Drosophila melanogaster: one gene and its partner. The protein of the gene in region 2 binds, or shares a complex with, the protein of the main gene of each other region. Each region holds a gene or a part of one and is shown on either strand. Other genes may lie near its edges.

Region 1 (6,848 bases), on a different chromosome or scaffold from region 2:
ACCAGCATCTGGTCCAGCTGGAGGCCACCGTTGAACTGCAGGACAGAGGAGTGGAAACTTCAAGCCAATTCGAATTCAACTTGAAAACTTACTCTCATTTCCTTCAGGTCTAGGTTCATTTTATCAATGCGGAACTTGGACAAGCCATACGCCTTGACCTGCTTCATGTCCAGATTGGCCATGCCCATGCTCTTCTTCACATTGGGCACCTCCAACGGATCGGGCACGGGCACGCCGGGCAGACCCTGCGGATCCTCCTGCTGAAAGTGCACGAGCATGGCCTCCACCTGGGCGGCTATGCTGGCCTGACTCTCTTTGATCTTAAGTGCGTCATCCGACTCGCTGGCTTCCTGCTCCACAGCTGCTCAAAGGTCATTAATGAGTGGCTTAGTTCCGGTAGAGCTCAGACTGGAATTCGTCTTACCATCGCCAGGCTCCTGGGAGTGAACAATGTGGCAGCCACTTGCCATCAGGCCCACGAGCACGACCACTATCAACGGCTTCATCTTTCGGGGATTAGCTGGAGCTTCTGCTTATCAGTTGGAAAATGGAAGAAAACGCGCCAGCCTCCGTTCTCTACTCGGAACAAACACGCACTGTCGACTGGCGCGTTAATCAAAAGATAATGATGAGCCGCAGGCGGCGATCCGCTTATCTAAGGGCGACTCTGCTCGCGGAGCTGCTGATTAAACTCGGAATTGAGATTGAGTGACTTAAGTGAGCGGAAGCGGCCAGCACATTGTAGGCACTCATGGAACTCACTCCACTCCCAGGAACGATGTTCTAGAAATCATGAACTAGCAGCTTGCATGAGGCAAAGAGTGTTACGGTTCGAAAACGGTTTTGAAACCCAAAGAAAATCGCGCATTTTTCTGTAGTAGCAATGCTCATTTTTATTTGAATATTTTAATAGTTATATGTTCGCATATATAATATGGGTATATATGGCTTACTTGAATTGTTGTTCTTAATCCTAGGTTCACGTGCTCAAAAAAATTCATGCTCAAAAAAAGTCTTAGCCTATTCAAAAAAATGTCTTAGCCTATTAAAAAAAAAGGTTTTTTTTAGCTCACAGCATCCACATTTTGGGCAAAGCAATCTATAATTCGCTGTTCGTTGAACGAAAATAATCTTTAGTTTTGACTAATGCTTTACTCTTAAATAGATTATCTTTGCTGCAGCTGCAGAATTGCTTTAAATAGTTATGTATACGACTTTTGGCTTAATACGTATTAAAAAAAAATTGAGTTTTGGAAACGTTTGCTGGATGATTACAAAAATCAGATTGTAGAATGCTCCTAAAAGATATTTGGGAGTTGATTTGAGTGGAAGTTGTTTGAGTGGGGGAATATATAGCATAACGAAACCACAAGTTAAAAACAAGAGAGAATGCTAAAGTCGAATTTCCCGACTATCAGATACCCGTTACTCAGCTAGTGGAAATACGAACGCGAAATTTCATCATTTTTCTGGGATATCCAAGAGATATTGGGAAATAAAATGAGAAAAAATTTAAAATTGTGGGCGTGGAAGTTTTGGGCGGTAAGTGGGCGTGGCAACATGGGTAAACAACCAAGCGCTGCATCTATGTCTCTAGAATTTATATGCTTAATCTCAACCTTCTAGCTTTTATAGTTCCTGAGATCGAGACATTCATACGGACAGGGCCAGATCGACTCGACTATTGATCCTGATCAAGAATATATATACTTTACATGGTCGGAAACACATCTAGTATACCCTTTTACTCTACGAATAACGGGTATGATAAGAGGATCAAAGACGATACCACGTTATGGATGCAATTCAGTGCTGAATTCGACCATCCATAACGTACATAAAAATTATCTATTAAAGGATTGATACCTGGACATCACTGAGCACATAAAAAAACAAACATATAGGGATGAGTCGTCTTGCTTACAAGTCATCCGAGCCCGACATGATCTCCTCGAACAGTGAATGGGCATTGTCAGTGGCCGATGATCTGTCGCCAGCGGCAGAATTGCTCCTGGATCCGCCACTGACAAGCTCATCCACCGTGTCGAGGGCCGAGAAGTTGGCCCTTCCTCGGCGTGTTCGACTGGTCCTGAATTTCTTGGCCGGTGGCTCGATGACTTCCCTGTCAGGAGCAGGAGGCGGTGGTGGCGAAAGTGATGGAGCTGGTGGATTCGGCGGGTCAATTGTTGGCATTATATAAGCATACTGGGGAAGGGAACCGAAGCCATCGGTGTGCTGCAGCTGGACACGAATAGTGAAGCCAACGGTGACCGGATCAAGGGGCTTGCTGCCCTGGAAGATATTGAAGCCTGCAATTGGAACAGGGTTAGATAGGTCTAACACAGCGATGAGGTAACTTACCCTGGTACTCGCCTTTCTCATTCTGAACAAGCACCAAAGGATGCTGGGATTGCTGCAAATTATTTAGCGGCACTAGGCTTATGGGGGCAGAAGAGTCTGGCGGCGCCATACTGTTCTCCTCCTGCCTAGGCTCAGCTACCACCGGCTCCTCCGACTGAGTCATCGGCTCTGGAACGTCCTTCGGCATTTCGAAATCCTCCAAATCATCGTCCTCATCACTTTCAACGTAGTCCTCCTTGTGCGGATTCTTGCAGCACACGCAATGACACCCGGCACAGCTGTTGTAACTCTTGTAGCAAGGACATCGGGAATTCCGGCAGGTGGTGAGGGTATTGCTCGAGCCGGAGATACCGCAGCGGCACTTCGGCTTCGGAGGCTTCACCTTTTCCTCCTTGTCCTTGCCCCGAATCCTGCGAAGAGCGCCCTTTCCAGATTGCACTTTAGTCTTGACCTCAGACGGTACAGGCTCAATTTTGGCAGCTTGTGACGCTTTGAGAGTACGGGTTCTCTTTCGCTTAAGTGTTGGCTCGTCACTGTCCTCCTTCTGCAGCTCAGCACTGATTGCGTGCAGGTCCTTCTCCTTCTCCTTCGCCTCTTCAGCCGCTGCCTTTGCGTCCTCAAAATCTTTCTGCAACGACTCCGCATCCTGCAATTCTGTTTGCACATGACCCAATTGTGTTTTTGTGGCAACATGCTCCTCCACTGCTTCCTCCATTTCGGTTTGTGTAGGTGACTGTGAAGTGTGCACATCCAAGTGTTGATCCTCCTCCATGTGCTCAGCTACAACCTCTGACGGGATTGAGGTCCCTTCGGCCTCTTCAACGGTCTCTTCAACCAGAGCCTCATCAGATTCCTCAACTTGCAGATTAGCCAATTGATCAGAGATTTCGTTGGGTTCCTCAGCGGAGGTAAGCACTTCTAGCTGCGTGGATGTTTCAACGGTCTCTTCAACGGTGGTGGAGAGCACAGTCAACTGTGTGGACGTCTCGACGGTCTCCTCAACGGCAGCCAGCACAGCCAACTGAGTGGAGTCCGCCATTTGCACCACCTGGCCGATTTGCAGTTCCTGTGGATCGAACTTCGTGGTCGCAGAAGTGGGCATCACGTAGGAGACAGCAAAGTTGTTGCCGCTATTTGTGTATTTGGACACCGAAACCGTGCCAGACAGGTCTACCTGATCCGTCCACGCTTGGTCCATGAAGCCCGACTCCGAGCTCTCGGTGGCAATGACTATTTGCCCGGCGTGAGAGAGCATGCCCATGCGAGATCCTGTGGGCAGCAGGGGAAGCGGCGAGAAGTGACCCTGCTCCGCTGTGGCCGCCGCCTCCGCCTCAATGTCGCTGATGTTGAGGTGGTGATCATAGGGCAGTTCCGGAGTCGTGACCGCCGACGTAGGCGGCGTCTCTGCGGGCAGCGATGTGGGCATGTCCTTGAGGAACGGCAAATCCGGCTGGGGCAGAAAGATGTCAAAAGTGTCGGAGATGTTTGAGCCCTCGCGAATGAACTCCTGTGTGGTTTTGGGAGGCAGCTTGATGCGAGGCACCAGCTCCCTGGCCACCTGGGGCCGCATCCCGGCCAGCTCACCAAATAATGCCGAGTGGAGCAGGTGGACGCACAGCGTCTTGTAGCACAGTAGCTGGGCGGCCATCATACGGTTCTCCTCGTAGGTCTTGAAGTCGGAGCAACCCTCGCACTGGGTGCAGCTGGGAAACAGATGCTTCTTACCGCGCAGACACAGCCGGCACACGTTGTGCTGGCACCGCTTGCCCTTGGGCGAGTAGGGATCCACCAGCAGCTGGCAGCAGACCACGCAAGACAGCAGCTGCCGTAGCTCGCCGAGCCCGGAGTTCAGCTCCTCCACCCGCCGTTTGGAAAGATTCGAAGCGGAGCGCATCGCGATGCGTGTCACCTTCAAGTATGCCGTCTGGGCCATGATGGCTATATTTTTATGCCCGGGACTGTACGCACGCCGCTGTTTGTTTACGTTTTTCAGCCCAAAAGTGAGACTCCGCTGGCCAAGTAAGTGCCTTGTCGGTCCGACCCACGCCACCTGCTCCGCTACCTGGTGCCTCCTGGGCTAGTTACCTGCAATTCCTCGCCCGTAGGAGCTCAGTTACACATGCTTAGACCGCGTTAATCCTCGATTTCATTATCTAATGGTAACTTTACTGGAACGCTTTTTGTTGGTTTCACTTTTGTGGCTTCGTTATCACTATGTTTCACGTGCAAAAAAAAAAAAAAAATTGGTTTACGTTTGAGAGGTCTCAAGTCATTGTTAATGGTTATGCTGCACACTGTGCAACAGCGTTGAAAACAATAAATTAGCAACTAAAAAAAAAAATTACCCAAGCAATATTTTGCTGAGCGAAGCCAGTGTGACCGCAGTGTGCCAGTGCGAACATGCTAGCTGCAGTGCGGCATAGGTGTGACCACTACCTCGAACAGCTGATTTCAGTGCTCTGAGGAATTTTCGCAGTTACGAACTGCGGTCCTACAACAAATTTTAACACTTAGTTTTTCAAGTAAATATGGTTTTTTAAGTATTTTCCGTCAAAGGAAAGCGGAAAACCTTGGAAATTATTTACTAACAGCTCTTCCGCTTACGCCAGGTGGTAGGAGAGCCAGAAAATGCCGGAACCGCGCAGTCCGATGGCCAGTTTTGCCGAGTCGGTGCTGAATGTCATCGATGGACCCATAACTTGGTTCCGTGGTATGTAGTCCACAGGGATTCCCAATGGCCATGGTCATGGGAGTCTCCAGATGCTGCAAGTTTGCGTTTCCTTTGGCCAACGATCGGAAAAACCGGACAAATTCCAGACAATTACATAATGACATAACCTCAACTCGCAGTCCATTTGTTTTTGTTTACACTGTATTGCTGAAATGCTAAAATGTTTATAATCAACCGTTTTAAGTAATTTCTAGCTAGCGCAAACTAAATCTCTTAGAATACTAGTCGGCAGCCCTTAAATGCCGTCCGTTACTATATAGTTCATCTAGTCAAAGCGGGATCATGTTTTTCAACAGAAATGCATTACAGCTAGTATATTTTATTAATGCGCCTTGTGTTAATCCCACAGAGAGCATTGTGGAGCCGAACCAGCAGAAGCAGAATTGGTACCACCAGCGCTTCCGCCGCGTTCCGACGATCGACCAGTGCTACACGGACGATGCCGTCTGCCGTTTCGAGGCCGATCAGCAGTTCCGCCGGGATCGCATGGTCGACAACGAGATTGTCAACATTCTGCGCCAGCGCTTCGAGGACTGCACCCTCTACGAGGCACCCGATCACATGGTCAAGTGCAGGCCGCTGATGGATCAGTACGAGAAGGCCACCGAGAACTGGTTCATCAAGTGTGAGTGGAATCCCTTACCCATCTTCTTTAAAGTTGTATGTGATATATAACGAGATATAACCCATTATAGATGGCGACTTGGGAGGCTACGCCAATGCCAAGACCGCGTACATGAAGCAGAAGCATCGTCTGATCTGGGAGCGTCGTCATGGACCAGTGGGCAGTGGCATGAAGGAGGAGGCCGCCCATTAAACTCCGCTTTTATGATGATGTTTTCTAGTTTCATTATCCGTTAAAACAAAATATACACGCCGTAAAACGATATTCCCAAGGATTGAGCTTTCTTTCAATTGTTTCAGTGTAAATTATAAGGTAAGAGCTACTAGGAATTATTTATTACTACAGCAGTTTCAATTCATTTGTCTATTAGTTGCATTTATTCTTAGTCATGTTTTTCTTAAAATAAATATTAATATTGGCGTTTGATATAGAATTTTGGCTATAGACTAGCTTAAAACTAATAGTTCTCAAGATTAAGAGCCTTGGTTAAGTTGTTCCAGTGAGTAAAATAAAGTTTTTGCCTGCGTACTGCAATAAGTTTACAGAATATAGTGATAAATCATAAAACTCACACTGTAATTCTTCAGACTTTTTCGAAAATTTAGACAATTTCAAAAAGAGTTCCATAATTTCTCATTTTTTAAAAAAAGGAATGCACAGTCCATAAATCATTTGCTTTTCTTAAAAAAAGAAAAAATTACACTTTTAGAAATAGATACCAATAGATAGGCAATAGTGAAATTTGTTCAAGCTTTCTAGAATTACGCTATCTTAGATTACTTTCGAGCTCAGCTAATCGAGACCAGCGGCTTGTTGATGAGACTCTTTTTGAGCTTAGCCAGAGCGCTATTTGCGGCCTTGTCTCCTGGCTTCTTGTCCTTGTTTTTGGGACCCAATGGTATCATGGTTGTGTCCATTAGCTTGCGTCTGAATCCCTTGTAGAACTGCAGCACGTGTGGATTGGCCCACACTTGCTTGGCGTCAAAGTCCAGGATGCGAATGGACTGCAGGGATTTCGCACGGGATAAGGCCACATAGGCCTGTCCAGCCTCAAATACTTTGGAAAGGGACATCTCCACGCAGTCGAGGGTTAGTCCCTGACTCTTGTGTATGGAAAATGCCCAGGCTAAC
Region 2 (5,178 bases):
TTAGAACAATAACTATATAAAATTGTGTTATGAAAATAAGAGGGTTACTTACATTTGGCCTGCTGCTTCTCCCTTGCCGCCTGCTCCACAAAGATGGAGCTCTTCTTGGGCTTATCCAAAATCGAGGCATCCACGATGGATTTGTTATCGCCCAATGCTCGCTTGTTCGCCAAATCACCGGCCTTGGGCTCAAAGCGGGACACACGTCTCAGGATCTTAACCACGATACCACCAGATTGAGTAACGAGCGTGAGGACGTGATCCTCCATGCCCATTCGTCCGTACAGCATGGCATCCACCGTCTCCTCGAGAACAAACTCGTCGACGAGGTAGCGCTGCAAATAAAACTTGACCACTCCTCCTCTAAGGGCAATGGCCACCAGGGTGAGTCCCAGATGGGTCAAGGGCAGCGGTAGGAGGCAAACGGGTAGATCGGACATGGGCACCTGGTATAACAGCTTGCCCCGCTTTGAGTAGCACAGATAGCGATTGTCCATGGTGGAGGCGATTATCGTCTGATCGATGGGCAGCAGTAGGAGGCCGGTTAGGGGGATGCCGAGCTTGAAGATCTCCTGTCCCTCCGATTGGCTTTTCCGCAGGAGGTAGACACCGCCATTTCGCGTGGCCACCACGATGCAGAAATCCGTCTCAAAGGTTCCCTGCACGGAGATCAGGCTCGGCACGGCCGTCTCATCATCGCAGGCCTTGCCCTGGTAAACCAAATTGAAGCCCTGCGGCTCCAGGATCATGATGTGCCCGGTATCGGTGGCCAGGACCAAGTGGGACGGGGGATTGGCATCGCTGGAGATGCGCTTTATGCAGCACATGGCCACAATGTTGCCAACCCGACCCACTGGGGAGTCCTTGTGCGTGGCAATGAAGTGCTCCCGCTCCTGCTCGCCCATTTGCAGAAGTCGCTGCGATTTCCGCGACAGCTTGGAGTGGTCTATGGTTTTTAGGGAGTCAAGCAGGGCGGGATGGGCACTTGGCTTCACAACCGGCAGTTTTCGCCATACCTCCAGCTCCAGATCCTCGGAGTCCTGTGCGGGAATCGTGTACTTGAAGTATGGCTTTAGGTGACGATAGAAGAGCACTGACTCAGCGATGGCCACGGCAATTACTGGAAAATTGTATTCATTATGGAATCTAATTTAAAAATATTAAAATGCAACGTTATTTCTACCCGGCGTCTTGGGCTCCGTTTCGTCGATGTAGAGACTTTCAATGGCCGCTGGAATCCCCGGCAGTGGCTGCTCGTGCTTGAGTTTAAGACCACGGAAAACCTTCAGCGTGGCAGTGGGCTCCTCGGCGGCATTGTCCAGTGAAATGTCCGCCGCCAGCAGCCGGACATATCCGTCGCACTGCACGTCGCTCAGGGCCATGCAACTGGTGAGGGTGGTGAGATGCGGTGGAGGAGCCTCCTCCGCCGTGTCCACGTGAAGCCAGTTGGGAGCACCGGCCATGGCAGGATCTTGGTGAAAAATTTGCAGCACAGTGTGAAAACGAACAGGTGATTCAGGACATGCTTTTGTTTTGGTTTTTCTTGTCCTTAGCAACCGGGATGACAGCACATTTTTTGTTACTTATTTGGGTTTTTTCTTAAAAACACAAAATGATCGTCAGCATTATTCTTAAATGCTAACAGGGTAAAGCTACGTATAACTAAAAAATCATTTGGCAAAAGGTAAAACTGTGATCAAATTACTGATGATAGAAAATTTTATTTAAATTGGCCGCCAAAAATGCATTTTGTCTGGTCACACTTAAGGCCGGCCTGCTAAAGACGTGCAAGCATCGACAGTATGTGTTATCGATAAGTGCGAGGGAATATTCGATACCCACGTCAATTGCTTATCGCAAAAAACATTCGTTATAAATATCATCTCAGCGACGCCAGCAGTTGAATTCAATATTTAACATTTTGTATACATAAGTGACTGACTACGGCCCTATTTAACTGCAAGTAATGACGGAGCTAAGGGACGAGACACCGCTCTTTCACAAGGGCGAGATAGTCCTTTGCTACGAGCCGGATAAATCGAAGGCCCGTGTTCTTTACACCAGCAAGGTAAATACACATGCACACACACACACACGCGCGCGCATTGAAATGTCAAGCAAACGTCGTAGGCGAAGTTTTCACAAATGATTTTCCGTTTCCCGCAATTTTCCGTACATGCCGCAGGTGCTAAACGTCTTTGAGCGCCGGAACGAGCATGGCCTGAGGTTCTACGAGTACAAGATTCACTTCCAGGGCTGGCGTCCATCCTACGATCGCTGTGTGCGCGCCACCGTTCTATTGAAAGACACCGAGGAGAATCGCCAGTTGCAAAGGGAGCTGGCCGAAGCTGCCAAGCTGCAAATGTAAGATAACCCCCTAGACATGCGTGGAATACCTCTCTAACGAGTTCCCCCTTCTTTTTCGCACAGTCGTGGTGACTACTCCTACAAGGGCACACCCGATAAGCCATCGGCCAAGAAGAAACGCGGCGGAAAAGCGGCCCACGTTGAGGAGCCAATAGTGGTTCCAATGGACACGGGACATCTTGAGGCGGAGCACGAAATGGCGCCCACTCCACGAGCAGCGGGCAACCGGACGCGGGACAACAGCGGTGGCAAGCGAAAGGAAAAACCCCCGTCCGGAGATGGCCGATTAAAGGGAAACCGGGGCAGACAAACAGAGACCTTTTATAACAATGCCATAAATGATGTATCGGTCTATAACCATGTGCCACAGGAGGATCGCATTATGATGCGAGTCAGCGAGCGATTGCGAGAGCTTATAGAGTACGATCGGAATATGATCAAGGTACTAGGCAAACAGCACGCACTGCCCGCCCGCGTGCCCATCGTGACCATCATGGAAAACTTCGTCAAGCAGCAGGCCGTGGAGCTAGCCATTAGCATTAAACAGGACAGCTCGAGGGCCAGGAACACGCAGAGTCGCAATGCCAGAATGGAGCGGGAATACGATCGCGTTATGTCCACGTTGGTTACCACTCAATATCAGACTTAACAACCCACTTATACTCTTACTTATTAACAGTGTCTGCATGCTGAAGGAGGTGGTAGACGGATTGCGTATCTACTTTGAGTTCCACGTGGATGACCACTTGCTGTATACGGAGGAGAAGGAGTATGTCCACAACTACCTCACAGACGACAACATGCGCAACTGCAGCCTAATATTGAACAAGTCGTACGAGTATATCAATCCCAGCGGTGACACGGAACTGATCGGTCTGGACGGCACGCCAGTGGTAGAAGGGTCGGGCGACACCAATGGACAGATCGGAGTTATTAATATCGGCGGTCCGGAGTACGAGAAGCAGTTGCAAAAATGCCTGCTCTACATTGTTACCGCCAGCGGGAAAAACACTGCGCAGGCCTATGAGAGGACTTCCCCATATACGGCTGCCTACAAACTGCCCGTGGAGATGCGTGGATTTCTGAACGAAACATTCAAGTGGCGGCTTTTGTCAGCGGAATCGCCGCCAGAAAAGTCCATGGTCTTTGGCGCTCCCCACCTGGTTAGGCTAATGAGTATGTACAATCTTTCTTGCATTCTATAACACACATTAATTCATGGTACTTGCAGTTAAAATGCCCATGTTCTTAAACGCATCGCCGATCAGCAACAAGAAGCTAGAAGATCTACTTCCCCACCTCGACGCCTTCATCAAGTAAGTCTAAGACCCCTCCCTAGTCCATCACGAAGCTAATCTGTTGGTTTTTCAGCTACTTGGAGAACCACAGGGAGTGGTTCGACAGGGAAAACTTTGTTAACTCCACTGCCCTGCCCCAGGAAGATCTGCAGCGGGAGCTGTTGGACTCCCTGGATGGGATTGCTGCTTAGCTTTAGTTGATCGTAGTTATCTAGTTTATTTATTATTACGATTAAAGCTTATGCTCTTTTATTTAAAGATTTGTAATTGTCGTTTTGGTTTCTTCAACTACACACTTTGTAAACAACGCACTTCTATAAAAAAGTTTCCTAATGTGATCGTATAATCGAATAATGCCTATAACTATATATGTTAAATATTGAAAATACGATTTTAACATTTTTTTTTGTTTTTTTTTTTTTTTTTGCTTAACCTAAGTTTTAGTTGAGTAGTACATGCTAGTATTTTTGTCATGCCTTGTTTTTTGTGCTCAAATATATTTAAGAGTTGGAAAGTTGTTGTCTTTTGTATTAAGGATTTGCGGACCTTGAGTTGGAATGTGCAGGGAATTCTTAAGATTTGTATAATTTCTCAAAATATTGCAACTGTAACAACTATGTGTGTGCTGATTTGTGTTTCAGATCCTGCTTAGAAATTCGAAATTGTCGCTTGGACGGCTTGGAGTTGGATGCATTCGCGTTTGTAACATGTGTAAACTTGGGACGTTAACTTGGACGATGACTGAACTGGACTGGACTGCCGGCCCTCACTTCTGTCGCTTGGTGGCACTGCTGGCCGTGGGTCGCATGAAGCTGCTCACGGATCGACTGCTGCTAGTGCTCCTCTGCTGCGGACTGGGGTTCGCACTCATCCTGGCCTGCTGCTGCTGGTTCAGGGCATTTTTCACCAGCACCACGCTGCGAGCGGCGCTCATTCGGGACTGTGACTGGGGTTGGGACTGGGACTGGTTTTCCTTAAAACTGGTGCTACCATGGATACTCGATTTCGGAGCCGTGTTGGACATCTTGCTGCGCACCAAGATCACACTGGGTCCCACACTCGACCCGCTACTGCTGCTCCTGCTGGCGGGGACTCCACGTCCCTGGGTAGGTCGCAGATTCTGGGCGGCCAGTGGTCTTTTGCTGGGCGAGGAGTCAACGGACACAGTGGCTCCCGCTCGCTGAACGGCGGGCAGTCGTCTCACTACAGTTTGAGTGGAGGCTCCACTGTTGATGGACGATCGCGAGGAGCGCAGACTGTTTCTCGAACTGCTCCGCTCCACGCCGGCTAGAACCTGTTGCTCCTGCGGCGAGCGTCTCACAGTGGATGCGGATCTCAGCGGAGCTGCACTGGCCAACGGCTGACCGTTGGGCATGCGCAGCGGTCTGCTGGCGGAGAGGCTCCTCTTGACCGTTGCAGTTTGGGTGGCAGGGATTTGGTTTTGTGACTTGCTGGCTGCCGATCCTGAGGATCCGGAACTCTTCATCCTGGCCTGCTGCAGGCGATCGGCCAA

The links. Proteins that work in one complex are often made in the same cells at the same time.
Region 1: msl-3 (region 2) and msl-2 share a complex: the UniProt entries of both Drosophila melanogaster proteins name them as parts of the male-specific lethal (MSL) histone acetyltransferase complex.

What each region holds. Positions count from the first base shown.
Region 1 is NT_033779.5:3,461,346-3,468,193, forward strand, and holds msl-2 (male-specific lethal 2), read right to left. Parts: upstream 4,768-6,848; 5' UTR 4,707-4,767; exon of another isoform or gene 4,574-4,706; 5' UTR 4,295-4,573; coding exon 2,362-4,294; intron 2,310-2,361; coding exon 1,921-2,309; 3' UTR 873-1,920; downstream 1-872. Other genes in the region: CG3246 (uncharacterized protein), read right to left, coding at 1-35, 93-361, 425-506; ND-PDSW (NADH dehydrogenase (ubiquinone) PDSW subunit), read left to right, coding at 4,990-5,071, 5,442-5,717, 5,788-5,909; Pif1 DNA helicase, read right to left, coding at 6,506-6,848. UniProt on the Drosophila melanogaster protein: Limiting component of the male-specific lethal (MSL) histone acetyltransferase complex, a multiprotein complex essential for elevating transcription of the single X chromosome in the male (X chromosome dosage compensation).
Region 2 is NT_037436.4:7,122,211-7,127,388, reverse strand, and holds msl-3 (male-specific lethal 3), read left to right. Parts: upstream 1-1,855; 5' UTR 1,856-1,966; coding exon 1,967-2,068; intron 2,069-2,185; coding exon 2,186-2,364; intron 2,365-2,430; coding exon 2,431-2,988; intron 2,989-3,046; coding exon 3,047-3,543; intron 3,544-3,598; coding exon 3,599-3,683; intron 3,684-3,738; coding exon 3,739-3,856; 3' UTR 3,857-4,176; downstream 4,177-5,178. Other genes in the region: BBS1 (Bardet-Biedl syndrome 1), read right to left, coding at 53-1,120, 1,184-1,463; form3 (formin 3), read right to left, coding at 4,432-5,178. UniProt on the Drosophila melanogaster protein: Component of the male-specific lethal (MSL) histone acetyltransferase complex, a multiprotein complex essential for elevating transcription of the single X chromosome in the male (X chromosome dosage compensation).